Styela clava: one gene and its partners. The protein of the gene in region 4 interacts with the protein of the main gene of each other region in a pairwise test. Links are inferred from orthologs where the notes say so. Each region holds a gene or a part of one and is shown on either strand. Other genes may lie near its edges. The genes, in order: DNA repair protein RAD51 homolog A, 26S proteasome non-ATPase regulatory subunit 7-like, elongation factor 2-like and DNA repair and recombination protein RAD54-like.

The links.
Region 1: the proteins of DNA repair and recombination protein RAD54-like (region 4) and DNA repair protein RAD51 homolog A interact in a two-hybrid assay, tested with the Caenorhabditis elegans proteins (3 studies listed by BioGRID). The link is inferred for Styela clava from reciprocal best matches to the Caenorhabditis elegans genes rad-54.L and rad-51.
Region 2: the proteins of DNA repair and recombination protein RAD54-like (region 4) and 26S proteasome non-ATPase regulatory subunit 7-like interact in a two-hybrid assay, tested with the Caenorhabditis elegans proteins (2 studies listed by BioGRID). The link is inferred for Styela clava from reciprocal best matches to the Caenorhabditis elegans genes rad-54.L and rpn-8.
Region 3: the proteins of DNA repair and recombination protein RAD54-like (region 4) and elongation factor 2-like interact in a two-hybrid assay, tested with the Caenorhabditis elegans proteins (2 studies listed by BioGRID). The link is inferred for Styela clava from reciprocal best matches to the Caenorhabditis elegans genes rad-54.L and eef-2.

The regions. Positions count from the first base shown.
Region 1 is NC_135264.1:10,478,000-10,485,466, forward strand, and holds the start of DNA repair protein RAD51 homolog A, read right to left. Parts: upstream 3,006-7,467; 5' UTR 2,882-3,005; coding exon 2,801-2,881; intron 2,475-2,800; coding exon 2,337-2,474; intron 1,808-2,336; coding exon 1,690-1,807; intron 1,609-1,689; coding exon 1,517-1,608; intron 1-1,516. Other genes in the region: nucleotide sugar transporter SLC35B4-like, read left to right, coding at 3,622-3,701, 4,041-4,154, 4,481-4,583, 4,840-4,959, 5,561-5,728, 6,322-6,816.
Region 2 is NC_135263.1:4,084,200-4,091,958, reverse strand, and holds the start of 26S proteasome non-ATPase regulatory subunit 7-like, read right to left. Parts: upstream 3,012-7,759; 5' UTR 2,980-3,011; coding exon 2,802-2,979; intron 2,125-2,801; coding exon 2,032-2,124; intron 1,673-2,031; coding exon 1,494-1,672; intron 817-1,493; coding exon 725-816; intron 1-724. Other genes in the region: DNA-directed RNA polymerase III subunit RPC7-like, read right to left, coding at 4,574-5,230; leucine-rich melanocyte differentiation-associated protein-like, read left to right, coding at 5,835-6,509.
Region 3 is NC_135257.1:16,652,933-16,660,717, forward strand, and holds the start of elongation factor 2-like, read right to left. Parts: upstream 3,021-7,785; 5' UTR 2,872-3,020; coding exon 2,869-2,871; intron 1,647-2,868; coding exon 1,432-1,646; intron 1-1,431. UniProt on the Caenorhabditis elegans protein: Catalyzes the GTP-dependent ribosomal translocation step during translation elongation.
Region 4 is NC_135251.1:11,749,017-11,756,765, reverse strand, and holds the start of DNA repair and recombination protein RAD54-like, read right to left. Parts: upstream 3,005-7,749; 5' UTR 2,949-3,004; coding exon 2,451-2,948; intron 815-2,450; exon of another isoform or gene 256-814; intron 1-255.

The DNA of each region.
Region 1 (7,467 bases), on a different chromosome or scaffold from region 4:
ATGTCCAAAAATTAAAAAACTTCAACAAAAATATTCTTTTACATGTTGAGAGGGGAGCGATATTTTGGATAAACAATTGGATCTTTATTCAGCAAGGGTATACGGATTGTTAAACTAGGTGAATATGACAAAAGCAGACTTCAGAAAAAGCTGAGAAAAACTTGTGATGGGTATAAGTATAACAACATTCTGCATTTTTCGCTATCATTTTTAAAATTAGAATACACTAACTTATTCTATAATAATTTTTGTTACATGGAAATAGGTAACTTTTATTTGTTACGGTTAGGGCTGTCCAAGCGAACCAAATATTCGAAATAGAATCGAATCGCAAATTATTCGAATCGTTTTTCGGCTAATTTTCGAATCGCTAAAATTAGGTACCGGTACATAAAGCGGAAACCACCTTTACGGGATGTTTTTCATCGGGCAAGCGGCGGCGATCCGAGCTCAGACCACTCTCGCTCCCGGCTTGCTTAATTGGTTTCCCGATATTTTTCTCGCCTTCATTTTGTGATAAACATGTCATTACTAATGCCCGCCCGGTGGCACGTGATTAGCCATTTCATGCGTGGTCATCATAACAAGGTATAGTCGATCGTGACGTTTTTGAGAGAGAACAAGGAGAAAAAGGAGACAATTTAGAAAACGATAGTTCTATAAATAGAATCGATTTGAAGCTGTTGAGTTAGTTATCATAGGAACATGGTACAGGCAACTCAAAGCTGAAACAGGTGTTTTGGGATCCTTATGATGGCAATACCTTATTTAAATGGAATTTGTAATTTCTCATGATGGCATTACTGTATTATCCATCTATATACCAAGACAAATAATTGCACTCTTGCATTTTGATGGCTGTTGTACACTAACAATATTATAGTCCTCAAATAATATTGTCATCAAACTAGCTTGGAATTTTTAAATGCAATTTTGAACTTGAGCAACAGTTTTATCTATATTGATGGTTGTTATTATTTTGCTGAAATTTACACAAAAAAACATAAAGACTAGTGAATAGGATTAAAATAGCATCTACAAGCTTTATATGTCCTACTAAAACTGAATCCATCAAAATTGAGATTGCAATTTTTGAATAGTGCAATTTTTACTCTTAACACTCAACAGTTTTCGAGACCCAAATTTTGGAGTTCTCCAATTTTTTTGACCAGTTCATACAAGCGTGTGATCTCCTTTGATGTAACTGCACATACGTTACCACAACATCGAAGGGCAGGCGTTTATTGTATAATAGAGACAGATTTACTATTGGGCAATAATATTCGATTATTCGGTTCGATTCGGCGAAAATATTCGATTCGAATCAAAAAATTATTCGATTTTGGACAGCCCTAGTTACGGTAGATAAAAGTGCGACTAAAATGAGAAAAATGGAATAAAACTGTACTAAAAACTCACGCTAGTTGAATTGTGTATTACTATTAAATAAAATACAACTTATTATAGTTCAAAGAAGACATTAAAAAAAAAAAGTTTCCGCAATATAGATTCAGACCTGGCATGTAACAGCAATTGTGTGACAAATTTGTGATTTTCCTGTTCTGAATTCTCCGAAGAGTTCTGTTATCGATCCAGTCTCAATTCCACCTAAAAATAAGAAACACTTTTTAGACGAGACTCACGACTTCGTGTCGAACAAATCTCTGTACAAAAGTTTTTTTGATATACCTTGTAATAACTTATCTAATTCTTTTGATCCTGTAGTAACTTGGATTATTTCCGATCTCCTTTGATGAAATTCTGTCGCAGTTGTAAAACCCATCGGCACTAATTTCGCTGCTTCAAGCTAAAAAAATATATAAAGATTTCATGATCAGGGTCAAAGAAGATCTTGTAATGTTTCATGTAGAATACAGTAGGGCACAATTCGCTGATTGGTTAACAATTGGTTAATCTGAAATAAGGGTGTCTTGATCGACGACAGATGTGCCAGAATTCGCCATGCTTGTTTCAATAATAATTTAAATCAATGTCACATGATCAAAATTGTGTTTTTTTTAGATATAGATTGAAGATTGTGCTTCCTTCTGGTTTATTGCACAATACCGGTTTGCCAATTTGTGCCAGTATGGAGGCCCAGACTGTCTCATGAAAGAGGGGTTTGCATTCACTCTTATATTTAATGTCTTTCAATGTGGGAGCTATTCTTGAAATCAGAGAACTGTGCCGTAATGTTATATGATAGACTTATTGATAAAAATAAACAAATAAAATCGTTGTCATATTATTTAATTTTCACTTTTTCAACGTCAGAGTGATTTCCACATAAATATTTGACACATAATAGAATTTCAATGTCCTTTAATAAATTTTACCGTTAATTTCTCAGCTTTTGCTTCACTTATTCCTTTTACTCCAACAAGTTCCTTCTTCGTAGCATAAGCAAGTGCTTCCACAGAATGGTATCCATTTTCTGAAAGTTTCCTTATATCACTTGCACTTATTCCACATTGCTAAAAGAGATAGATTTTGCATAATGTGGTATGCGGTTGTGTAATCTCAATTTATGATAGGCCTATTTTAATTTTATAAAGTACCTTTACCGGTATCCAGATAATGCAGTATTGATAAAATCATAATTTAAGAATTGATTTTAAAAAACGATTTTCTCCGACATTTCTGATATAGAATAGTTGAAAAGTCAAAAGCCATTAATTTTCTTGTTAAATTTGCTATTTAACCTATTTCTGTTTTTTTTCTCTCGAATTCAGGGCTTGCCAGTATTTGCGAATAGAACAATATGAAAATTTCTTGATTTACGGTAATTAACTCAACTTACCTCTAATTTTGCGATGGGAAGTGGGCCCATAACCTCCTCTTCTTCGGCATCTTCCTGTTGTTCGTGTACTTGCATTGCCATATTTACTGAAATAAAGGTTTGCGAACGACGCCTGCGATATCTCAGAATACAGAAATACTAAAATAAGACGAGACGATTTACCAAAACAAATCTCGCGCTTTAGATCCACTGAACCATAACAATTATTTTGACCAAACTTTTCGTAAACTTAAGAAAAAACAACGTTTAAATATAACTTGTACAGTCCTTTAGTTTGATTTAACATAGACAGACCAAATAGTCACACAAAAAAACGGTGTTCATATGTGTAAGTTTTTTTTTACAATTGTGAGATATTTCGAGTATTGTAAAAGTAATGTAGCAAACGCCGTAGGGAAGTACTTTTCTTTTATATAAAATATTTATAAAACATTATAATAATGAACAACATAACATATTTATCATTTTTTTTATTGGCGGTTTTCAACAAAACGTCTTTTTTTACGTAATTCATAATAAATTTTCCCCGAGGATGCCAGTATCAAGAACTATGACGTACAGTTTCGATATTTATTATTTCGTGCCAGACCGTCTCGTTGTTCAGACGAGTTTCGACGCCGGAAGTTTACGTGTCCAGTTGTATTTCGCGAGATTTTTATATTGTACCAGCGTTCAGACAGCTATAACAATGTATTTTTCTTCGCAGAACAGCATGTAGTTGATAATAAAAACATATATAAACATAGCTAATTGTTACAAATTTAGGAGCACGGAATATCTTTCGTTTTATATTACTGTAGCCTATCACTTCTTCACTCGTCATGTTCGAAATGTATTTTGCCGTTGGAGTTCTTCTTGCCTCGTGTTGTACAAATGTAATTTTTCTTGAACACCTGATAAAGTGAGTGTATAACTTTTTTGGCTAGAGTTATTGAATTTTGATATTGTGTACCGGTATGCAGGTATGGCAGTATGGTGAATTTTATGCTTGGATGAATCTGTATTTATGATTGTAGTATTCTGTTTGTACTTACTGTTTGAAGTTTTATAGTTTGGTCTAATCTTTCTTTTCTGTAACATTGCCTATGGCATACTTTTATATATATCACATCTTTCTGTGCTAAAGCAGCCAGAGCTTTGATTTCCCTTTGTGTTATCTGGCTAAGTTACACAGCTTTTAACTCAAACTTTGTATTTTATTTAAATAAGAATTCACTGAAATTTAACTTTCATTTTTCAGAGCTTCACCTGATAGTGGAAATATCCTGCTTTTTCTTCAATTTTCCTTTATTGCTATAGAAGGTTTTATTGCTAATCGGAAGTTCGGATGGGAAACTAGACATGTTCCTTTAAAGTATGTGGCTTTTTTGCTTTTCTTATTGTGCAAAGTAAAGAAAGACAGAATCAAATAGGCCTATCGATAAAAAAAAAAAGTTATAGCTAAACTCTACTTTGTCGTCATGATTTTACTTATATGGTGTATATTCTCAAAACAAGAAAAAAGTCTCAAGTAATTGCCTCCTATATAAAATGTAATTTTACAAGCATTTTTTTAAACTTTAATGGCTTCATACTACTTGATCACAGTCTTATCCAGAGACATATATCTGTATATAGAAGCACCCCAAAAAAACAAATTTTAATTGTAACAGAAAATAATTCAATTTGTCTTATATTTAGAAACTATGTTGTCATGGTTCTACTGTTCTTCACAGCCAGTGCTACTAATAATATGGCATTAGGTTTCAATATACCAATGCCTCTTCATATGATTTTTAAATCTGTAAGTATAACAAATATGATAATTATTATTCTTTCTATTGTTATCAAGCGAGTAGTGTGCATCATATTTACATTACCGCCCATAAAGTTTCTAAGTTGCTAAAAGATAAGTTTCTAATTCTTAGGCACGAACATATACATACATAGATTTATGAAGTTCCTTCCATTAAAAAGCGATTATTGAAACGTCTGGTCAGTTATGGCTCCATCCACTATATGGACAGTCTATACAATTTTTTATATTTTTTTTCTCTCAGGGTTCTCTTGTAGCGAACATGTTTCTTGGTGCTTTCTTATTGAAGAGGTCGTACTCATCTCAAAAATACCTTTCAGTTGCATTTGTGTCACTGGGTATATTGATTTGCACTTATGTTACAGTAAGTTATGTTTATGAAGATTGAATGCTTGAATAATATTGCTCGACTATAATTAGCATTGACCAACTGCAGCTCTTTTTTGGATTATTGGACTTGGACATGTACGAGGCCCGGCCTATAAATTGTTTTACTCAATGTAGTTGTTTGTCTCTGATTCTAGCAGACCAATCGATATTTTAAATTTTCAACACTTTAAGATGGCTATCACCATACTTTTTTTGACATTTTCATGAATCCTACACAGACCTCAATACTGTCCCAAATATTGAGTATTTCTCTCTTTTTTTGCTACGAATATAGCCTACCTAGTTGTATGTAGCGTGTATCATTTTTGTAATTACGTTATCTGTACGCTATGATTTTATTTTGTTATTTTGATTTCTTCATTACCATAATTTGAGATACGTATTGGCTATTTTCAAGTTTAATGGAAATTCAAATTTTAAAATAAAGTTTTCTATAACTGAATGAAGTGTGTAGCCGACAAAATGATTGACAATCATTGGATTTCCGGTACATCAATTTGAAATATGATTTTTTATATACTAAACATAAATTTCATATCTTTATAAGTATTGCTAATGTTGACATTATATCTAAGAGTGTTTCAAAGGCCACCACAATGTCTAGTCATTCAACTGATGCTTCTACATTAATTGGAGTCATATTTTTGACAATTTCACTCATTGTATCTGCTGGAATGGGAATTTATCAAGAAAGTATCGCAATCAAATATGGGAAACATCCAAGAGAAACTTTGTTTTACAATGTAAGTGATACGATTACTGAGTTATTGATTAATAGTTGTTGGACATAATCTTAATTAATAATGAGGTCGGTCAAATAATGAACGTAGGTGCCAATATCTGATGGATATTTTTTTATCATAATTCCTAAGAAACAAACATGCCTAGTTTGAGTTCACCAACTTATTTGACCTTTGACAATATATGGAACACCACTGTTCGTTATTCTCAGAAGTCTACATATGGATTGTTTGCTAAATTATTGTTGTTGCTGGGGACAAAAATGCCTTTACCACATTTTCTATATTTAATAATAATGAAAGAAATTGCTTGAAGGCTTTTACTTTTTTTTTGCTGTTTCACTCTGCTTTGTTTGACTTCCTCCATAAGTTTGACCGCGGATCTTTTCAGCAAACTCTGTGATCTCAAGCCCTAAAGTACCGGTACTGATGTGCAACAATGTGTATTTATTTGAGTATTGATCTCTTGCACATTTTGAAATGAGACTCGTATTTTTCCATGATAAATACTAAAATAAAAGAGAGATCATGTATATATATTGTATTACTGCTATCTTCATTATGTTTTATTAACAGAAAATAAATTATTTTCACAGCATGCTCTACCGTTACCATTCTTCCTGCTACTCGTACCAAGCATTGCGCGGAATTTAGAAATATTCAATCAATCACCTCTTGAGCCGGTGCCATTTTTTACAAACTTTCTGAACACTGTTTCAGAGTCAGTTTTATCTTTTCAAATGAATTTAGAAATTCCAATTTTGTGGCAATACGTCATCATCAATGTTGTGACGCAATACTTTTGCATTCGTTCCGTATTTTATCTCGTTACTGAATGCACTTCGCTAACGGTTACGCTGCTGATAACCCTACGTAAGTTCATATCGTTGCTGTTTTCAGTGCTGTATTTTCAGAATGATTTTACTTTTTATCATTGGATAGGGACATCATTCGTTTTCGCTGGCAGTTTAATGTATTCGGATATTTTTAGAATAAAATCTTCTACTGTAACCACGTTTAATAACAGCAAAACATCGAAAAATGGTATTAGTAATGGGTATCACAAAAACGGTCATACAAAGGTGGATTGAATCTTGTATTAAACCAATGCCAATGATGCCTTATCTGTTCATTATGCTTATCAACACAGTTATATTTGTGTTAGAAAATTTCTACTTATGTGATTACCTAGAAATTATTATTATTTTTACTTTCTGCTCTTAACTATAATACGAAGATACCCTAATGTGGAAATAATTCTAACGAAGCAAAGCTGAAGCCATTTTATTATTTGTACATATTTTTGTTTTTAATATTATTATCATGTCATAAAGCACTGTGCTTATGCTAGTCTGCCAATGTAATTGTCTCTTTGAATTAAAAGGATTGTATATACAGTCAATTGAATTAATCAATGTATTATATGGTATATTTTATGTGATATATTTATTGTATCATGCCTGGTTTGATAATGGCTTCCCACTAGGATGAGAAATTCATTATTATTAGCCTATGTATTCACATGGAGATAATTTAATATGTATAGTTTTCAATCTACATTTTATTAACTTCTTTTGTTAGTCAGTAACGTTCTTTAAAATAATATTGCACAAGAGATGTTCACTATATAACAGGAATATCTTATCAAGGTCGGCCCTCTAGGCAAATTTAACTGACCCGCCTTGGTGGAATGTTTTATACCAGGGTATGCAACAGGTGGCCCATTTAGCCAAGCCATTTAG
Region 2 (7,759 bases), on a different chromosome or scaffold from region 4:
ACGTCCTTAGACAAGCAGTTTACAAGAATGAGTTCAACAATTGGTCGTTGTTGTAAACTGTTTGTCTGAAGAAGTCTGATTTTGGTCAGACGAAAGATTACAGGAATACATATTTGTTAGTGTGCAGCAGGACTCTTGGATTGCATAGTATGGTATTTTTATCTCCGCTACAGCATCCTTGCATTATATGCATGGGGATCCACTAGCGCGAAGGCATTGAGGAAGAATTGGGAGTTAGTCTCGCGTAAACTCTATGAATGATGATTGTATATAACAAGTATGAAAATAAAACTTTTGGTTTAATATCAGGGAAAACAAAGCTCCCACCTCAAGACACATTTCAATAACTAACGAGTGTACGAAATAATAAAAAAGCAATAAGCATTCTTATTGGCGTTATGCTTGTACTGAAGATATAGTAAAAATGTTTATGCACAACCTTCTATGTTGACATCAAATGTTAGAAATATCAGTTCAATACTGGCTTTTTGTGTAGATCAGGGGCCTATTATACCTGAGCTTGTGCGAAGCGAACAACACATTTGATAACATCAACAAGTTAACCGATTTTTTGTACGTGCAACTACTAGAAAGCCTATGTTGAATAAAAGCGTGGCCTGCAGTTTCACCCAGTCATTTTTATCTGGCCCTTCTGCATTAAAGGTTGCATACCCCTGGTGCAGACCATCAGTGTCACTAAAAACCGCCCAGAACCGGCACATACCTGAGTAAATGTTCAACTCCTACTTCTTCAGCTTCTTCAGCTCCGATCTCACTTGGGACATGCTCAAATGTACGTGAAGTGGGGGTGCCATCCTGTGGATAAATGAAAGTTAAATATGATTAAAGTATAGATTAATTTGAGGGTCATTGAAAGATTTGATTTTGACATTGTGCATTTATGATTCCAGGACCAAGGTATTACCTAGTGTGAAACAAATTATACAATATCAAATCAGAAAGATTCTGCACCTTCTGGAAATAGTAGCTCCATCTTGCATATTAGTGATCGCTTGTCTGGAGCTTTGTGCGGAATGAAAGTGAGGAAATTGGAAGTAACAATATGGGTACTCCCGTAGTGTGTGTACCAGGTTAAGTTGGGCCATAATTTTATTCTGATTTTGCTTATTTTGGTTCTATTACAAGTTCGGGGACCACCTGTGTTTGCCAAATGAATATTACCCCTGTCCATAGGTTTCAGTCCCTTTATACAACTTGATGTAAAATAGGCGAACAAAATGAGTTACCTCCATATTGGTACACACACTTCTAAAGCGCCACAATATGTATGACAATATATAGCAGTCTGTTACATGTAAAAGACCGTTGCTGATAGAGTCGCCAAGAAAAAACTACCAGAAAGGCAGAGAATGTGAAAGAAACCAAGGCAGCGAGGAAGGCCAAAGATAAAAACAAAAATAGTGACTGGAAGCGTCTAGCGCTCATCAACAATCCAAACCTGAAAATATATTTATAGTTACTTTTATACATACATCATGAATCTCTTCAACAGAGATGTAAGCTTCAGTTGGAAGTCCAAGTTCTTTAGGTTTTGCGTCAATAACCACGAGTACTGCGTTAGAATTGTATCGTTTTATCAATTCATTAATTGCAATATCGTTAGGACATAGCTTTGGTCCTGTATGATACCATCCTATGATTCTTTCGCGAGCTGAAAAGGAAGATTCAAAAGTATTCAATATATAATTTAATATATAATAATAATGTATAGTATGAGTTGTATACAGAGATAGCCAAGACCGGATAACTTACTATTCGGAATGTATATGCAACACATACATCAATGTATATACACCGCATATCTGATTACCCTGCGTAGGTTCACAAATTCGATCCCAAATATTTGCAGCCCCTTAAACACCTCAACTCGTCTAGCGTTAATCAGAAAGTTAGGTCAGGCAAAGACGAGCTCATTGGCTCTGTATAATGGCTGTCAAAATTGTTTTTCAGGGCACAAAGAATCACGCCAATAAAGTGTTGCATAAGATGTTGTATTAATATTGCATTTACCATTAACTTTCTTGAACATGCTGTACATTTGTTCCAAATAATCGTGATCGAGAAACCAAACTTCTCTGTCTCTGACATCTTCATCAAATGGAACTAAAAATCAAAATAATGTTTCAAATGACATAAGTATAAATACAGGGGTTCTAAACCTTCTTTTTCTGGTTTAACCCATGTACAATTTTAAAACTAAAATTTTTAAAAAGGGCTAGCTCTCTCCACAGCAAGAGCATAATACACATCAATTACGCAAGAGAATACTTTGTTTTCTTCTATGTAATCAACAGCCACATTTGGCCACGTATTTTCAAACTTGCAATTATTTTCCGACATGCAGATCAAATCAACCAGAAAGGGTAAATCTATTCCCTGCTGAGATACCCATAGAGTTATTTTTTCAATGCATTCAAATATACCCTATATTCAAAAATGGGTGCTCCCGAAGTATGCGAACCAAGATGGCGGACATCGGAACGTAACATGGGTAACAGGTTAGGGTTGCACGATAATTTTTTTCCAATTTTCCTTATTCTAGTCCTCTTATCAGTTCGAAGACTAGCCAAGAGCCTCCCGCAGTATTTATACCTAAAATTATGGCCTAACCCTAACCTAGTACACATATTACATTCCGATATCCGCCATCTTGGTTCGCATACTTCGGGAGCCCCCAAAAATGAGTATAGCAATAGCTATAGCAGTCTTGGTTGTTGATTTACCTGCTTGACTACTGCCTCATTAAAAGAGAACACATTACAAAATAGGAATAGACTTACCTGCAAAACTATTAGAAACATCTAAAATTTTCTTTCCATCGATTGTTTTCCATTGACCAAGTAAAACCCCAACAACTCTGCTTTGACTTCCTACCTTTCCCATTCTATTGAAATGATCAACAACACTCAGAAGTACGAGTGGATGAACCACAACATGATCCATTGGAATCGCAGACATTTTGTTAAAATATTATGTCTAAGTAATTTTAAAAGCTGTAATTCAAAAATAATTTCATATTTGCAATAAATATATTCGTATTTACTGATGCGTAAAGTACCACCATAATTCTAGTTTCACTTTTAATAGCTCTTGAAATTTCAGTGCCTGCCTGTAACTTCTTTCAAGAATTCGTCTCCTTACAACAAAATGAGTATGACTCTGCTTTGAGAAAATACCCGAAAAAAAAAGTTAACCCATTTGGGAGAAAAGTAAGATAGATGGAACAATTTTATTTTACTTATTTCAAGTTGACAGTCAACTTTTGCTACTATTCTAATGAACAATATATACCAAAATAATAAATAAATATTCTAAATAAATGCGATACATAATAATGAACTGAGCATTAGAAATAATTCTTTATATGACAATCCATTGAAAGGAACATATCTTAAATTATAGTTTAGTCCAGGGGTGCACAACATGAAGCACGCGTGCCAAATATGGCACGGCATACCCTTGAACATAGAAAACGAACGATTTTGTAAAAACAAAAAAATATTCATGATATACATAAAAAAAATCATGTTTATATCGAAAGACACTGGAATGGTCATGTTTATCTACAAATTGCAAGGTAGTAGCTGAAAATAAATAGTTAGGCAAGCCTACAGTAGCGAGCAGTTAAGTACCAATAGGTGAAACGTGATTTTCCGCATATCGATGATGGTAATAAGGTGTGTTTATGTCGTAAAAATCTAAATCGGCATATTCATTCACACCAAAGAGACTACTGTATGACTCGAATATATTATATTCACTTGCACTTCGAAACAAGAACGTCTTCAAATGAGCAGTCATTCAGAATTATGTATTATGATTCAAATTTGTTTTATGTGTGTTTTACATGAGTTTGATTACAATACCAACGATTGTGCCTGGCACACGACAAGATTATTTTGAAAAATATGGCACATATCCTCATTTGGGTTGTGCATCTCTGGTTTGTTTAGTCTATTATAGTTTCATTCGGTTTCCCCCTGTATTGAAAATCAATGAAAACTGATCAGCTAGAATTATTTCATTCTTTAGTATTTCTCTTATCGTGATGAAGAGCAATTGATTAATATAAAACAGATTGGCCTTCAGATAAACATGAAAGAGTAAGGTGAATCACAATAAATGAAGTTTTATCTTCATTAAAAGCATAAACCATTATTTAACTGCACAAAAAATTCAAATTCATTGATTTTTGAATAAAGAGCAAAAATACTTTTGGTGAACTTGATTACGAAGTTCAGCTTGGAAAATTCTACTCAACATTCCTTTTAAAACATCAACAAAATCCCAAAAATGTTTTTATATTATCTAGAAATCCCAATCACACCCATACATTCATCTTATTATTTATTCCAACTCTGCCTGCTCACTACCTGGAAAACAAGGAACAATCTATTTCCGATGATCAAGTCAGTGGAACAAGATGCTATGATAAATTAGTACCACTTTGACACCTCTTCACACTTTGGTAGTCGCTTCGAGATCAATTTCCATTATTTTCGGGTAAGTTCACTGTTTCAGAGTACTTCATTCAAAAGAAAAATTTGACTAATCAATAGATTCCTCCGTCCTTATCATCTAATGTATCTTCTTCCTCATCAAGATAAGATTCTCCATTATCAAAGTACGAAGTTAAATAATCATTTCCTTCATCTTCATCAACCTCGTCAATTTCAAGTTCGACTTCTGACTCAGTATCGTTTGCGTCTCCTGCCTTTTGCGCTTCTGGATTTTGATCTTTCTTCTCAAGCTCATCGAGCTTTTTCTTGACCTCCTCTTCGTTAACAGACTCCGCTTTTTTCTTCTCGACTAATTTTGGTGCAATTTTTTTGCTTGCTTTACGTTTTCTTTTCATTTCAATTTTTAATTCTGCCGGGAATCGACTCCAATCTGGTTCCCAACCTAGTTCGTTATCTGAATGATTGCTAATTCGATATTTATCTGAATATCTGTCTAGAAAGTTTTTTTCTTCTTGTTTTTTAATATAATATGGTGAATCCCGCATTGTCTTTTCAAAGTTTTTTTGCAAGGCAAGTAAATAGTCTTGATCTTCCCCTGTCAAAAGCGGTACAGGTCGCTTTTTCAATGGGGGATAATCAGGAGGTGGTTGAAGCAAAGACGTCGGCAACGCATCGCCTCTACCAAATCCTATGGCTTCAATATTAAAAGAAAGACCCGATCCTCGCCCTCTTCCTCTACCTTTCGACATATTTGAATGAAAATGTCAAATAAACAATGAAAATTGACGAAAAACTATCTCGATAAAGTAAGAGCTAGATTCCAAATCAGCTCTTATTCATGAATCAGCATTTTATTTATTTGCCTGTTCACGATTTTCACGCATGACTGGGATCGCCAAATTATTTTTTGGGATAAAGCGAAAAAGGAGAAATAAAAGCAAATCAATAAATTAAGAAATTTTAATTTTTCAAGAAAAACAAAACAAACATGCCGATGTAAAAATTTTAATCCCGCGCATCAAATTTGCGGTATGTAGATTTGAATGCATATTCAGAGATCGTGGAAAATGCTTTAACTAGAATTTTTTTCTCTGTACAATCATAGAGAGAGGAATCCGATTAGACGATCAGATCATATGAAGAACCAACCACGACCTCTATTCCGGATCTGTTCAGGCACTGGACAAGCTAGTCACTTAATCGTCACAGATGCATATGCGTGTTATCGTAGGTTCGTAGTTGTACATTAACTTGTGACAAACATGCATTACTGCAATACGGTATTTGTCACAAGACTTTATATTTGTATGCGGACCGGACAAAGCAGTATGGCATCACACTGAGGTATATGGAATGGAGGCTATATATGAAGATATAGATATATCGGAGGACGTCGACGAAGTGGCGATTACAGGAAATAGGTTATGTTATAGCGGAAATGATTGTGAGAATTTTCCACAACATTTATTGAGGTATACCCGCCTAGCTGTGTGCATCGACCTGAGCCATAATAAGCTCAAAAATATCAATGATTTATCGAAGTTCGTCCATCTGCAAGAGTTGAATTTAGATAACAATGAAATCGACGACGAAACCGAGTTTCCGGAAATGAACACTTTACAGACACTTTCGTTAAATAAAAACCAACTAACTAATCTCGAAAAATTGGTGGCACAACTTAAACAAAAATGCAAGAACTTAACATACTTGAGTTTACTCGGAAACGCTGCCTGCAGACATCCATTACTAGGATATACTGATGAAGATTATGCGGAAGTGCGACGTTATATCGCAACATATTTACCGAAACTAGAAATCATAGACTGGCAAGCGGTAGCAGAGGAGGAAAGGGGAGATCATCCTTCTGCTTTAGAAGCAACTACCTTCGAAGAATTTGATGTTAAATTCACAACTGAAAACGAACAGCTTTCCCCACCAACACCTAGAGCAGCCGCAGGAAAAGTGCGTTATACTTATATCGGGAAGCAATCCGAGGGCAACAGGTTTATCAGAAACAACAACCTTTGACAGATAAAAACGTCTCATAGGCTAAGAGTTCGAATAAAAAGGCGTTGAACCTTATATTTCATCAACATCAAATACTTTTTCGCGTGTCACCCTGATCAAATGCTCAATTTCAAGATGCTCAAATGCTATTTGAGCGCCCTGCAAATTTCCCTATATTTATTTCTGAAAGAATTTGATATCCAATGATTTCTGATAGCAGTGATTTTTTTTTCCAACTACGACAGCAAGAATTTAGCAAAACGATTTAACATTGTGTCTCTGATCTACTCAACATTGTGTAATGGATAAAGCGCAAATGTCCTATCAGAGGCAGACAACATGTTTCTCATTTAAAGCGTGTTCCTATGTGTTATAATATTACAAATATTTTTTATGAAATTCATTTTATTTTAACAAGCAATACATTGTAATTTACAAAAATGTTTGGTAACAATCAAGGCAGGGCTGAAAGCATTTACAGTATATCAGGGCAGAGAAAGGGGTTATTTTCATGAGTTTACTTCGAACAAGACTATGCAAAAGAAGCTACCGATTATGATACAAGGGAGCTATATTTAAATAAGGACTGGGATCTTGCTATTCTGGCAAGGCCTTATTACAACCTCAGTGTACGGTAGGTAGGAATGGGGTTTCAACTTGACCATCACACCCATTCAAAGGTATTGGAAAACGACAGAGTTATCCACTTCCTCTACCATATGCATAGAACAGCATAAAGCATTATTTCATTGAGGGCGCTCAAGGAGTGTGTGCACCAATATGGAGGTAACTAATTTTGTTAGCCTACTTTCATCAAGTTGAGTAAAGGGACTGATTACTATGGGCAGGGGGTATATTCACGTGGCTAACAGACAGCCCGGAATAAAACTAAAACAAGAAAAATCGAAGTAACATTATGGCCTAACCCTAACCTGGTACACACACTACGGGAGTATTCATTTAGGACTACTACAAGATTTTTGTTGTGTGCAAGGCCCCAGCACATGAGCCACTCAAGAGTACAATATTGGGCCCAAGTTTACATCTTCCTGAGAACAAGGTGGTGTCTTAAAAAAGGCTGGGCGTAAGTTCGAATATGATCACTTAATTAATATCTTCTTGGTAGTAAACAGGGATGTCAGTTAAATAAATTTCAAATAAATAATGGAATTATTGTTTTCTCAAGTTATTTTCCATAGTGACAAATCAAATTTATATCAAATTCTATTCAGTTCACGCCATTACTGTTGCAGAATTTCAGAATACCAAAA
Region 3 (7,785 bases), on a different chromosome or scaffold from region 4:
TCGAGTCGTTTGATCGCAGCTGCCTCACCGAAAAAAAGTTAGGCGTTTTATCTCGCAAATTCTCCTTGTCTGACGATTATAAGCTTTTATGATTCATAATAAATGTTTTATTATGACTCACAAAAGCTTTCAACGCGATAAAGCACAATCAAACAACCGATCGATCTATCAAGCTTAGCCTGGCCTGATTCGATGTGGTGACTTCTCAAACGGAAAATTTCCAAAACGATTGAACGACGCGCGCTATGGAAAAGCGTTTAGTATCATATGAAAGAGAAAACCAATGTGCAGTCAACTGTATAGTCACATTTCAGCTTTACAATAGCTATAGACGTCCAACAGCTGATAGAATGAGAGAGTGTAAATATTTTTGTTATTTTTTGACGTTACGAGAGACCTCTTGAAAGAGGTGTTTTAGTTTACGGTCCTCCAGTGACATCTAGCGTATAGTACTCTAAAATACCTTTCCAATGGTATATAATTATTGTATATTGGGTGAATTTTGGGGGTCGTATCACGTATGACATTAATAAAAATGGGTATTCAAAATTGGGCTCGATTGGGCGTCTAAAACAGGTTAAAAGACATCAATTATAATAATGAATGCAAACCGAGATGATGTGGAGTCTTTATAACACCAAACCGGTACTGCCTAATAAACTATTACAGTACAGCACACTATCCAAATTTTAAGAATTTCCCTCCATTAGGCTCAATAAAACAAACACTCTATGTGTCTCACAAACGCGGGGCGTCTGGGACCTCGGCAGATGCTTCATATCGCGCCATGCTTGTCTCAATAATAATATAAATTGATCGCAGCAGTCACATGACCAAAATTGCTGTTTTTTGCTAAAAACTTCCGAAAGCTACGGTAAAAATTTTTTCCTTCGGTAAATCTGATTATTTTTTCCCAAGGAATTCAATGACGACGTTACTAGATTGCGCTTTTTTGTAGTATATTGCGCAACTTCATTATACTGTATTATTACTGATATTGAGGGACAACAATTCCAGACGTCTCCCAAAGGAGGGGTGTCTGATCATCTGTAAAATGGTTTCTCTGAAACGGGAAAATGTCACCCGATTTGTATAGTGTGCCGTACTGTAATAAGGACACACAATCTAAGTCTCCATAACACCAAACCGGTACTGCCTAATAAACTATTAAGGACGCACAATCTAGAAACATTCCCATGGATTCCCCCCAAAAAAATAATCTGAATTTACGCAAGGCAAAAAAAATTTACAGTATTTGAATTTTTTTAGCAAAAATCAGTCTGGAGGAATGGAAATTTTGGTCATGTGACAGCCAACATATGTCATGATTGACTTATCATCCAGTCATTTGCAGGACTAATTTTTTTCATGGATCTTGGAATTGTGCCCTACTGTATATTGAGAAATGTATTTGTTTTAAAGCTCACTTACGTTGACTTGATTGTAATGCATCTCTCCTGCTCATCCTTTCTCGTATCTGTAAAACGAGTTTCTCCAGCTTTCGCACCAGCAATGATACCAGCTTTGCTAACAAGGGAGTCTGTTAATGTAGATTTACCATGATCTACATGAGCAATAACAGACATGTTCCGAATATTGGCTTTTTTGTCCATGATCTCACGGATCTGATCGACTGTGAAGTTCACCTAAAAATAAAAATTATGTTTAACATCAGTCTACAGCAAAAGCGTGCAACAGGCCACCAAGCTATTTAGTGAGCCCTTTTGAACAACCTGATTTTTCCAAATCAAGTATATAATCCTAATCCGACAGTTTATATTAAAAAAGACACTCACAAAGGTAAAAATACACATACATATACTACCCTAAGACGGCGAGGCGTCCAGCAATCCTCTTGCACATTTTATCCTCCCAGGATTTAAACCGCCAAACCCACAAAGGGTATCAGAGGGGTGGTCTGGTGGTGATGACTGGGTGAGTGTATTCCCAACGCTTAGCACAGTAGCACGATGCGCCGGGTCTTACTACTTACTGAATAGAACACGAAACAGCGCAGAATGGATAGAAACATTTTACTTTCATTATTTATTAGCATCCGTGAAATTTTAAACAATTTGATGGGAAACGGTATACAGTGGTAGGGAATGATCACGAGTTTATGTCAGTAATCTTCAACATCTTTAAATAACCAAACATGATGCACCCTAACCTGGTACACATACTGTGTTCAGGTTGTGCGCCATCTTGGTGCACATACTTCATGACGCACCCTAACCTGGTACACATACTGTGTAAACTTGTGATCATTCCCTACTACTGTATGTTGCCTCCCATCAAATTGTTTAAAATTTCATAGACGCTAATAAATAATGAAAGAAAAAAGTTTCCATCTCTTCTGCGCTGTTTTGCGCTCTTTCCCTCTCTTCTGCGCTGTTTCGCTCTCTATTCAGTAAGTAGTAAGACCGCGATGCGCCACACTGCTGAGCCCAAATTACTAATACTATTATATTGAAGTATGACATTTCAGTGTCAATATCGGAGAGTCAACCTCCAACCTCAAATGGTGTTGAATCATATAAAACAATCTTTATTATTTTGTTACCAGTCACCATTGCCACTGACTGATTGAAGATTTAGATATCTACCCTGTTTTTACATAATATAGCAAAGGACTGGCATTTACAAAATAAATAAAAAATACGTAGATCGCTACATAGACTGGATGTCAGATTTTTCTGTCTAAATTGAAAAGTGGGTTCTTCCCGTTCAGGTTATAGGCTACCTTCGCAAGAGTTATATCCACTTAAATCACGCTCAACAAGCCATATTATTCGTTCATATTGCGCGAAATATATCGACAGACACATGATAGCTCAAAATTACATAAAAAAGGGAAGATAAACTCACCATTTTGGATGTTTTGACTTCGTTTCTTCACTCCGCGTAAAAAAATCAACCCTCGAACTGAAGGGCTTGGGAAAGGAACGTTATGAAATGACAAAGCTGTAACGCCAACCTATTACGTCATAGCACCACGAAACAATATTGCGAAATCCAACAGTAATTATTGCGTCCCTACACGGATGAAATAAGAGAGGAAGAGATATTATTTGTCGATCAGATCAAACAGTCATGATATAATAAGTAAAATGATAATAATAATAATGAAGCAAAAAAAATTCTCATTCTGGAATATCCCCATATATGAGTATAAGTTTATTTTGACTTCATAAATCAGCATAAAGGCGATGAAATAATTGATAAAAACAAAATAAATAAACTGATTACAGAATCGGAAAAACGAACAAACCCTTGAGCATGGTTTAAATAAAACGTACATATTTCAGATTAAAAGGTGATGCCAAAATAAGTGGTACGTGTTCGCTCACCCAAAAGTATCAGGTTATTAGACCTTATTAATTCGAAAACCATCCAACGCGCGAAAAACGAAAGTGGCATGAACAAAAAACGAACCAAAAACGATTTTAACATTAGCTCTCATGGGGAATGTGATCACCAGAGCAAAAATTTGCATTTTTTGTAATTTTCTAGTTATCTTTCATTGTAGACGTATGCAGTTTTGGGGATAGAATATATTTTATATACTTTTTGATATTTTTATCATGATAGACACAGTCAAGATTTTTGATAATCGTTCATTGAAATTTTCATGGTCGTGGTGTTTCTGCTGGCATCTTTCTCACCATACCATGCCATTCTGCCAACGCGTTGTGGTCTGTGAAATATGCGCTCCAACTGCTCGTGTTTCTTATTATTATAGGATAACAGAATACCGGGACCACAACATACCGTGTTTGGCGCTAAAGAAAGACCTATTTTAGTTAGTAAAGTTTAGCCGGAATGGCAGTCTGTTCACGTATTAAATCAAGTAGACAAAAAAAAACTAGGAAAAAGAGTAAAAAAAATATATTACTTGGTAAAAAAGAATATATTTATACAAATAAAATAAATTTCGCCCAACCATATTGATAGATTTGTATGAATTTTGAAATTGGATACCGAATTGGTTAACAGGAATGAAATGTATAAAACAATGTTCCTAAAACGATATCGCCAAGTTGATTATAGTTGGAGTCTCCTAACGCCAAATTCCCGAAAGGAATTGCCAAGTTGGATGCATGAAAAGGTGGACTAGACTCTAGACTAGATCACTTCATTCACCATAGCTAGAATATAGCCAGATTAGATTCTAGATTAAATTAAATACTACTAATCACCAAAAGTAATTATAATAGGGTGGTTCACGTAACCACTGGTCGATTACGGCATCCTCTTTTATCAAGTCCATGCTTCCGAAAACGAATAACTAACTAATCCCATACTCGACATGGAATGGTAACCGGACGAGAGGCCATGATTCGCCATATCGGCTTTCTTCTCACACGGGATAAATGTGTAAATTCTATCCAAATTTGGTCTGACCTGGACACGCCACTGCGCGTCGCTGAATCAAACGCTTTGATTGTACAACGCAATTAGGTATTGACTCGAGAATCTGCACACACTTTTCCCAAACAGACAAAGATGTCAAAGTTGAGTGTTAAACCTGCGTTTTTTATTCGTTTCCATTGGCTATGATATTGAATCAATTTTCAAATGAGCATAAAGCGCACCAATCTCTTGTATTTTCAACAACTTTTTAGTGGGAAGTCTTGTAAAATTCGAAACATCAGAGACTGAATGGGGAGGGAAGAACTATGCTGACGTCAACAAATTATACCCGCGGACAACAGATTAGATACTATTCCGTCAACATTTTCTTTACACTTAGAGCTTTAGTCCCACTAATCTTGCGCTTACATTTTTTATAATGCAGATTTATTTGCACAAAAGAATGTAACAATATTAAAACTAAACCATGCTTGGATCCGTCAATATTATCTTAGACATTGGGAACTGATATGCTCGCCCATGGTTCATCAAAGGGTACTTCCGAAGTATAAGAACCAAGATGGCGGACACCGGGACGTAGTATGTGTACCAGATTAGGGTTAGGTAGGTCATAATTTCATTCCAATTTTAGTTCTATCACGAGTTTGGGGACTAGCCAAGTGACTCCCGTAGTATTTGTACCTGAAATTATGACCTAACCCTAACCTGGTACACATACTGCGAGTACCATATTATGCAATATGTAGTATTGTTGTAGATAGCTTATTGCGTTGAAAACACATTAAATAAATAATTAAATAGCCTAATTTGTTACAATTACCGTAATAAAAATATGATTGCGGAAGATTCATGTGTACATGAGATGTGTCGCGGACCATAACGTCCGCGTTTATATTGTGTATATATATATTTCATGTTGTATTGACCCTTATTCAATGCTGTTTTGTCGGATCTGGACTCCGACTAATCACTACACGTGAGAGGAAAACTATGTCATTCGCTCTCTTTTCTCCGTTCTTCGGGCTGGAGGTCGGTCGTGTTTTTAGTTCTTTAGTGATGTAATCAGTTTATATGTTTCAAGTTTGATATTCTGAAGTTGCCGTACAATAAACAACCAATCCGGAACCCTTGAGTCTTTGATTCATCTACAACCACGGTAGCAACATCTTCGTCCGTGACAGATGCAAGCATGCAAGAGACCTGTATTCTCGCTAATACATATGAAAAAAAGAAAACTATGCTCAAATAAAGAGATGATGGTTGCGCATCGATACTGGTACCGCAAAGGCTGAAAACATCGAGTTTGCTGAAAAGATGTTGGCGAACAAGTTCACGCGATCGAGCATGTCAGAATAGTTGGGGCCAAAATTAGGGTGAAATAATCAGTTCCAGTCAACGACTAACATACCGTCCCAGTATAGCAGGGGGCGGCAAATTATGTCCCGCGGGCCAGATCCAGCGTGGAGTAAAATAATCCGGCCAGCGATGCTTCACTGAATTATAGTAACAAAACGGCTATTTTGACGATTATATTTTTTATAATATCATATTCTTCATATTCGATGCAAGTGCAAAGGGTGAATGAAACTTTCTGAATCTAACTTTCTAACTATCCAAATTTGACAAAAGTCCACATCGATGTTTAGAAGTACATATGCGTGCAAAAAATTATTTTCGAAAATGAACATTACAAAGAACAAGCTGAGAACTCGGATTAATGATTCCCATTCAGAAATTGTTTTAATCCTGGCTTCATCCAGTGTGCCGCCAGAAAAAAAGAGTGATATTAAATGTCATTTGTAAATTTTTTTCTTCAAGTAAGAGGACTAAGTCAGCCATCCGTTCTTGTTAACTTTCGAAAAATTATGCGGCCCGCCAAGACTTGCAACCCTTAATTTTGGCACGCGAGCGACAAAAGGTTGCCGACTCCTGAACCAGCAACTTCTTTCTTTTTACAAAGTTCTGAAGATTTGAAATTGATTAGCCAACTAGTTGCAAAAAAAAGTTAATATTTCGAACAACCACAGTCACCCCGACAACATCAAGATTTGAGCAAAACAATATCAGACTTTGCCTTCAGTATTAACTTGAGGGAATAACACGCAGGAGACACCAGTTACAAACTATTAACATAGAATTGAATCGTTAGCCAAGCCTTTTATGTGAGGGAAATTAACCATGGGTTACCAGCTATATAATAATTAAATGAGCCGTTTAACAAGGAAGATGAGTACTTCGAATCAAAACTGATCGTTGTTCAGAACAAGCGAGCTATGCTCAAATATATGAACACGTTTACCATCCCAAGAAAAGCACCAACATTCAAAGACTTCAGGTATAACAGTGACTGCAAGCCACGCTTTTACGAGACAGTTACGAGTTAGTTCAGTATCACCGCGCTGTGTTACGGTACCGGAACTGCTCTATCTTTAAAAGTTCCTGTCTTGTGACAGCGTGAATTGAAATTGCAAGCTGGTCCGAGACTGTAGTAACACCAACGATACGAGTCACTACTGTTATATAACACCAAGTACGGCACTATTCGCCATTCACCTTTCCTCAAATATTAGCAAAGCAATGATTTCGTTACGAACCACCGACGTTCGATGGTACGTGATCAAAAGAACATGAAGAGGAGTGCCAGCATATGCGTCCGCAGAACGTTCGGTGACTTCATAGCAAACAAAAACAAATCTCACAGAGCTAACAGAAATATTTAGAATAAATAAAAGTAATAGCCTTCTGAAGAAAAATTTCATCTTTAACCACTAAAAATTTCAAAACAATTGGTTCAGTAATCAAAGAGAAAAGCGACTTTTTAGGTTTTCCACTAGGTGTCCAAAAAGTGTCAGAGAACAACAACATAATATTGAAACGATCGTTATGTCCACTAACGTGTCCAAAAAGATTTTATAAATGTGTGATTATGTCTTGAATACTCTTAATTCAATCAAATGGTACAGGTTAGCTCTTTAGTGAAGAGGATAAAAACCCGCAGCAAGACTAATATGCAGTATGACACGGCAATATTGCTAATATAAAAATGCACGGGGCAAGTTATAAATAGCATACCGAATCGAAAACAAGAAAGAACCTTTTTCAGATTTAGCATATTTTTGAACGTGGAAGTACCTAAAAATTTTCATGAACAAATTCCAATTTGGAAAAAAAATTAGAATAAAATCGAGATACTGATAAGATCAAGAGTTATATAAATATAACCTGAACTAGTCAATAAATTAGAATTCAACAGAAGCAAATTCATTTGGTTATTTAAAAGAGATCTATGATAATGAGACAAGATTGGATCACGGTGAGTATGGCGTAGGTCAATTTTTTCGTTGTTGAAATATTAATGTGATTCAGGCTAACAAAGAAAGAAATGGAAATCATACAACTTAATAGAATTTA
Region 4 (7,749 bases):
AAATATTTTTCCCAACCTGGTAAATGTAAACTACAAATTAGCTTTCATATTCATAATCTATGATCAAATTGATATGATACCAGCTTCTTACAGCCTAATTCTTGTATACATTCCTCAGTTATCGTATAGTATCTGTTTCACTGCGATCATTACTCATATCAGCATATATACTGAACAAAAAACAATAATTCCCCAAAAAGTGAAACAAATCTTATGGTACTATTGTTGTAAAGTAACTTAACCATCATTACAAACCTGTTATATGAAATAAAAACTATGACTATTCCACTTCCGACAACATTCAGACATTGCGTCCCCGAATCACCTCGCTGTATGAATCCACTTTTTAAACTGCACTTCCCGGCAACAAATTTCAAAGTATTTACTTTTCAGACAGTCAAACATGATTTCATACTATTATGGTTACCTGTAACTTGAAGATCTTTACTAACCTGTTGAAAACCATGAAAAAAAAAATACAAAATCATCTCCATAACAGAAATCAAGTATGGCTCCATATACAGATATACCATATTTCCCCAAAAATAAGACTGGGTCTCATTTCAATTTTCTTCCGAAAAATAACACTAGGGCTTATTTTCGGGGGATATCTTATATTTTTATTTATTAAAAACAAACTTAAAAAGTAGAGAATTACGAGATTTTCAAATATACAAACTATGAACCTATATATATATATTATAACCTATATATGAACCTCGGTTAAATGTGATTCAAGCGAATTCTTTTCACTAATAAGGTTTGCCTGTACCTTCAAGATCATCACTAACCTGTTAAACACACAAAAAATAAGACTAATCCACACCTCATAACAGAATTTGAGTGTGGCTCCATATTACTGAACTGCTCAAGTCTGTGGCTCCATTTTCTATCCTGTATTTCCAGGCAATAAATTCTCGGTTAAATGTGATTCAAGCGCATTCTTTTCACTAATAAGGTTTGCCTGTACCTTCAAGATCATTACTAACCTGTTAAACACACAAAAAATAAGACTAATCCACACCTCATAACAGAATTTGAGTGTGGCTCCATATTACTGAACTGCTCAAGTCTGTGGCTCCATTTTCTATCCTGTATTTCCAGGCAATAAATTCTCGGTTAAATGTGATTCAAGCGCATTCTTTTCACTAATAAGGTTTGCCTGTACCTTCAAGATCATTACTAACCTGTTAAACACACAAAAAATAAGACTAATCCACTTCTCAAAACGAATTTGAGTGTGGCTCCATATTACTGAACTGCTCTAGTCTGTGGCTCCATTTTCTATCCTGTATTTCCAGGCAATAAATTCTCGGTTAAAGGTGATTCAAGCGTATTCTTTTCACTAATTAGGTTTGCCTGGACCTTCAAGATCATCACTAACCTGTTAAACACACAAAAAATAAGACTAATCCACTTCTCAAAACGAATTTGAGTGTGGCTCCATATTACTGAACTGCTCTAGTCTGTGGCTCCATTTTCTATCCTGTATTTCCAGGCAATAAATTCTCGGTTAAATGTGATTCAAGCGTATTCTTTTCACTAATAAGGTTTGCCTGTACCTTCAAGATCATTACTAACCTGTTAAACACACAAAAAATAAGACTAATCCACTTCTCAAAACGAATTTGAGTGTGGCTCCATATTACTGAACTGCTCTAGTCTGTGGCTCCATTTTCTATCCTGTATTTCCAGGCAATAAATTCTCGGTTAAAGGTGATTCAAGCGTATTCTTTTCACTAATTAGGTTTGCCTGGACCTTCAAGATCATCACTAACCTGTTAAACACACAAAAAATAAGACTAATCCACTTCTCAAAACGAATTTGAGTGTGGCTCCATATTACTGAACTGCTCTAGTCTGTGGCTCCATTTTCTATCCTGTATTTCCAGGCAATAAATTCTCGGTTAAATGTGATTCAAGCGTATTCTTTTCACTAATTAGGTTTGCCTGTACCTTCAAGATCATCATTAACCTGTTAAACAAACAAAAAATAGGACTAATCACCTTTTCATACCAGAATTTGAGTGTGGCTCCGTATTACTGCATAGCACCATGGCCTGGCCTGGCCTGGCCCCGATTTCTCCGTGGCCCGGCCCCAATTTCTCCGTGGCCTGGCCCCAATTTCTCCGTGGCCTGGCCCCATTTCAGTGGCCTGGCCCCAAAGCCACAAAAAAGTGACCACTCCCTCTCCAAATTTTAGCCTGATGCAAGAATAATGACACCAATTAGAGACATGAGAAAAAGGAATATTGGAGATAGGACCCTGGCACCAATATCAATAAAAGCAAGTCAAAGTTTGACTCCAAACTGTCATAGGCCTGCGAGTGATTAACATTATGATTGAGGGATCTTGTCAACTTTAATTTACAATCAAAGAGATCCTATCCAATGTCATTTTGTACATCTAAGATGTGTGCCACACAAATACAATATTTTTCTATACTTACTTTTGAAAGTACAGGATCAACAACCACATGCACTTTAAGCTTGGTCTTGTCAGCTTTCAAGGCTTCGTGTGGCGAAAGTTCAGGTGGTTCGAATAATACTAAAGCGTTCTCATCGAATGGGTCATGTAATGGTTTTCGAAGCAACTGCCTTTTTAGTCCAAGTTTACCTCCCAATGTTGGTCCTTTGTAGTTGGGTATCGGAATTTTGAAGGGTTTAGAAAGAATTCCTCTGATAAAAGATTCATGTGAATTTGCATCTGGAAACGTGCTGACATCATTGCAATTCGAATTAACTGACAAGGTTCCTAAAGGGTCACGAAAAGGCGATCGATATAGTTTAAGTGTTGAAGATGCCATTGGGCTTCGTGTACATTTAAAACAAGGTTGTTGGTTTGGTACATTTTCACTTTTCCGTTTAGTCAATGTTGACTTATTATTTTCATCTGAATATTCAACTTCTTGCTTTACTAATCGACTTGGTGCAAAACTCCGTCTCATTCTTTTAACTAGATTTATACACTTAGACCTATGTTGTAAAAAAGAAAAAAAAATCTCCAGAACTCGCATAAAACTGATATTGCAGTATTGATCATGTCTGAAAAATGATTAAAAACCTGAAGGATAAAAAATGACCGCAGAGAGATGACAAGACAATTTGATTTGAATCGTGACAAAATGATATCCAGTATGGCTGGTTTTGAAAACCGGCATTCAGACATTTGTCGCGATGGTAGGTATACGCGGAAATTCTGCTCCGTTTCAGTTATTTAGGGTCGATTTCGGTAATCGAAAAAACATATTATTGCCACAAGTTTGCTGTTTTAACTGGAAAATGGCCTGGAGGTATAATAAATGACTTTTAGAAGATATCTACAGGTTCGTTCCGGTAAGTTTGGGTAGATATCCTACCCTGTATGTTGACCATTTTGGCATATGTCATTTCTAACCCCCACCTGACTACAGAACCACGTCATCAAAATATTACGTCACTACAACGTCACAGTGACGAAACAAGGTCCATAAAATTATACGGCTTGTCATCTAAAACGTGCAGACGATCACCCAAAATCAAGCAAGCTATTTCTCTCGCTCTCTCGTCGTAACGATCCCGATGTGTGAAAGATCTCTGAGTTAAGCCGGTTAGTTTCGTGGGCGGAAATGCCATTTCATGCCATCGTAGCTATTCTTTGGCAAGCTCTAGGCTATCTGTCTATGGCGTGATTGTAATGTTGTAGTGACATAATTTTTGGATGAGGTAGTCTGGTGGGGGTCCAGACTGGATTCCATGGCAGGTGCACGCCCGAGGGCGCTAGCGCTCCGCAAAAATGCACGCGAGCGAAATCAATTTTGCACGCCGAAAATTTGCAATTGCTCACCAATGTAAATCAGTTTAAATGGTTTTAAAATCAATAATCCAGTAATATAAAGATGCCAAAATATTATACCTCCACAATTGTCGACAAATACCAGCTTGCAAGATTTGGTCTGATCGAAATATTGCGAAGCAAAAAGACCATGGACCTTTCCCCAACCTTTGACCCGCGAAAAATTCCTCTCATTGTTACGTCCTTTTTTGCATCTTGCTGATTGGCCAATGTCACGAAGTAAACAAGGAAGTCGATGCTCGGGGAAAGGTCCATATCGTGTTGAATGATAGGAAATAGGAATCCCGTGAGAATAGTTATGGACGAAAAGATCGCCTCCGCACCAATGGCCAAGTACGGCTCTGATTCAGCGTATTTTTCATACAATAATTTTACACGAATGTACTGAACAGTACCGGTATCTAAAGTTGCTCAAACACTCCCAAAATTAGTGACAAAGTATGAAAATAATGTTTGGGGTCAAAGGTCAAACGTCCATTTTGCTCTAATTTGATGTATTTTTTATCCATTAATTCTACGTAAAAACACTACCAAAATTAATGACAAAGTATGTCCATTTTGCTCTTGTTCAACGTATTTTTTATCCAATAATTTTACGCGGATGTACTGAACAGTACCGGTATCCAAAGTCGCACAAACACTCTCAAAATTAGCGACAAACTGTAGAAATAATGTTTGGGGTCAAAGGTCAAACGTCCATTTTTTCTCTGATTCAACGTGTTTTTTATCCGATACCGGTAATTTTACGCGGATGTATTGAGAGGTATCTGATGACGATGTCAAAGTCAGTTGCACGCGAGTGCAGTTGTTTTGCACGTCGTGAGCTATAATTGCACGCCAGGAATTCTTATTTGCACGCGGGAATTTCTGATTGCACGCCCGATTTCTCGTTCAAAAAGGCCATGAAATCCAGACTGGGTGGGGGTTAGGAATAACATATGCAAATGAACATGCGCCAATAAAATGATTGATAAAACAAGTTAAATAAAAACTGAGTACTGGAATACGAGGGTCTCATGTAGTTTCGTACCTAACGTACTTCTAGGAGGCGTAGCATAACAATTTTTTCATGTGTCAATCCTAACCCCCACCTGACCACACCATCCAAAAGTTACGTCACTACGACATCACAGTGACGTAATAGAGCCCATCTAACTACTGAACTATGCGAACTGTCATCCAAGACGCGCAGACGAGAACCCGAAATTGAGCAGCCATTTCTCACGTTTTCTCGTCGCTATATAGTCAGTTCTATATCGTCGGCGCCGATGCCATTTCGGGCGATCGTAGGAGTATTTGGCAAGCTCTATGATGTGATTGTGACGTCGTAGTCACGTAATTTTTGGATGGCGTAGTCAGGTGAGGGTTAGGATTGGCATGTCAAAAAATTGTTATGCTACGCCTACTAGAAGTAGTCTACGTTAGGTACGAAACTACACGAGACCCGAATATCATTATGTTTGGGTCAGTACTGCAGTAAGTTACGGTATGCAGATAGGCTATGGTTAAATTTTTTAGGCAAATAAGCATACATACAAATCAGGAGAGCAAACAGAACTTTAGATCAGCCTTAAAACGTACAGCAATTCCATAAATTGTATAGATAACAAAAATAATAATATTAGAAAAAATAAAAATAACGGTACTTGCCACACATCATACAGTCATATTACAGTATTAAGTCTGAATACGCTGACGTTATTTTTTCTGATACTGAAAAAACACAAATTAGATATTATAAGTAAGTTATAAGTTTATTTCGACTCCATAATCAGCATAACAATAAAATGATTGTTAAAAAAAAAAAATTATCGGTATTATATTATCGAATAATCAGGACATGCGCCTCGTTCAGTCGTTGGACACACACCAAAGAGACTTAACATACTCTCTGAGTCTACCGCTTCCAACTATCCCAGAAACCCAAATAATTCGAACATATTCATGTTTCGCGCTGAGCGTTGTGCAATACAAAACCGGAGTCGCTAACCGAAGTGACACACTCACTGACCGCCGTTGACCCTATTTACTGACCTTTTCGCTCGTCCCAGTGAGAATTATATGCTATCACCACTGGTATGTTAGTCGTTGATCACCACTGACTTCAGTCTAGCTTCATTTAGTAACTAATGCATTAATTCAGATTAATCACGTGTTTGGAGTCGCAACAAATCGAATTGTAGGTAAGTAAGTTTATTTCAATTTCCCATAAATAATACACACAAATAAAATTAAAAAAAAAATCGTGTGGAAGTCAACGCTCTACTTCGCAATGTAGAAACCTCATTAGAACCGCGTTTAACACGTATAATATCAAAGAGACAGCAGCAAATTTCTCGTTAAATTGAATTGTCTTCTTTTGTACCTACTATTTATGTCGTAATTGCATTTTTTTGATTATGTTTTGTGTTCATGACAATTTTTGGTCCGCCGGTCCGCAAAATTTATTTTGAAATTTTACCGGTCCACGAACTGAAAAAGGTTGAGAACCACTGATCTAAACAAAATATCTCAAAATAGTGCACACACGCTACGCCATTTTCAAGCACACATCAAAATTAGTTTACAGATTCACAGTTGATTTTCCATCAATTGATGTTAAGTATAATTTATGTGTCCATATAATGCCATCAAGTAAAGATCATTTTTCCCAACCAGATAAAAAGTCAGTTTTACACGAAATACGAATGAAAAAGAAAAGAAGAGAAGTTAGTGCGAAATACTATTTAAACGTATAACGACTGACGCTTTTTAACAGTAATGGACACAGTAATATTTGAATAGCATTTGTCCGTAGTTTCAATACTTTTGAAAAGCGTCAACGTCATCATAAGATGATACTTGTAAATAAGAAATAAGCAGAAATTTATTTTAAGCTGGCCAATATTAGGTCGTCAGATCAACTCGAATCATTTCATAAAACACTGAGGGGCCATTAAAAGTTCGACTATGGAAACACATACTACGTACGTGTACACATACTACGTTCCGATGTCAGCCATCTTGGTTCACATACTACATGAGTACTAATTTCTGTGGTGCCCCCTTCCACCTGGTGCCTAGAACACGTGCTTATTTTTCTAAATGGTTAACACAGATCCATAGCCGACTAAAAATACGCCCGCACCCGGTGACCAAATGTCAAAGATTATTCAAGTTGGCTTCCTTACGCGCCGTTTCTTGTCTTTACTGAATGAGTTGTGAAAGGTTCTGTTCCACTTCAAACTTCAATAGTAAATATATCAAATTTTATGAATTTTGATTAACTTTTCATACTAGATTATCATATTGAGAATAAACTTCATCATGCACATACACCGTTCGATCTACGCTAGTCTGCAAGACATGAGGATGGATCACCGATTTCAAATGAAGCTTATTTCTAAATAACACTTTTTGCATAAGAAAACAACAGCACATAAAGGGAAATGTATTGATTTCTTGCAAGAATTTAACACGATTACAACAAGCACAAATAATATGTTCAATTAGAAATTAGGAAGAGAAAAATGTAAAATAAAATTTAATCTTAATTCCACCAAGATACGACTCGAGAATTTGATACAAGGGGACTGACTCCCCATATGCAACGAAAATGGGTAAAATCAAAATTCAAGTCTTGCTGACGTTTCAAGAGGGACAAGGTTTATTTGAAAGAAAAAGAAATTGCATTTCTGTATAGTCCATCGCTGAAAATACCTTATTCCGTCAGAATTAGCATAAGCGGAAAATTATGGAATTTCACAATTTTCATAGCACGACAAGGAAGATTGATATATAGTATAAATGTAATTAATAAGGAATAGTTAAGGTAAGGTATTTAAACGGCTTAAAACAAGAAAACTTTTTCTAATGCAACCAAAACTGTATTCTGAGACCCGCATGAGCTATAATTGTTATTCATTACACAACAT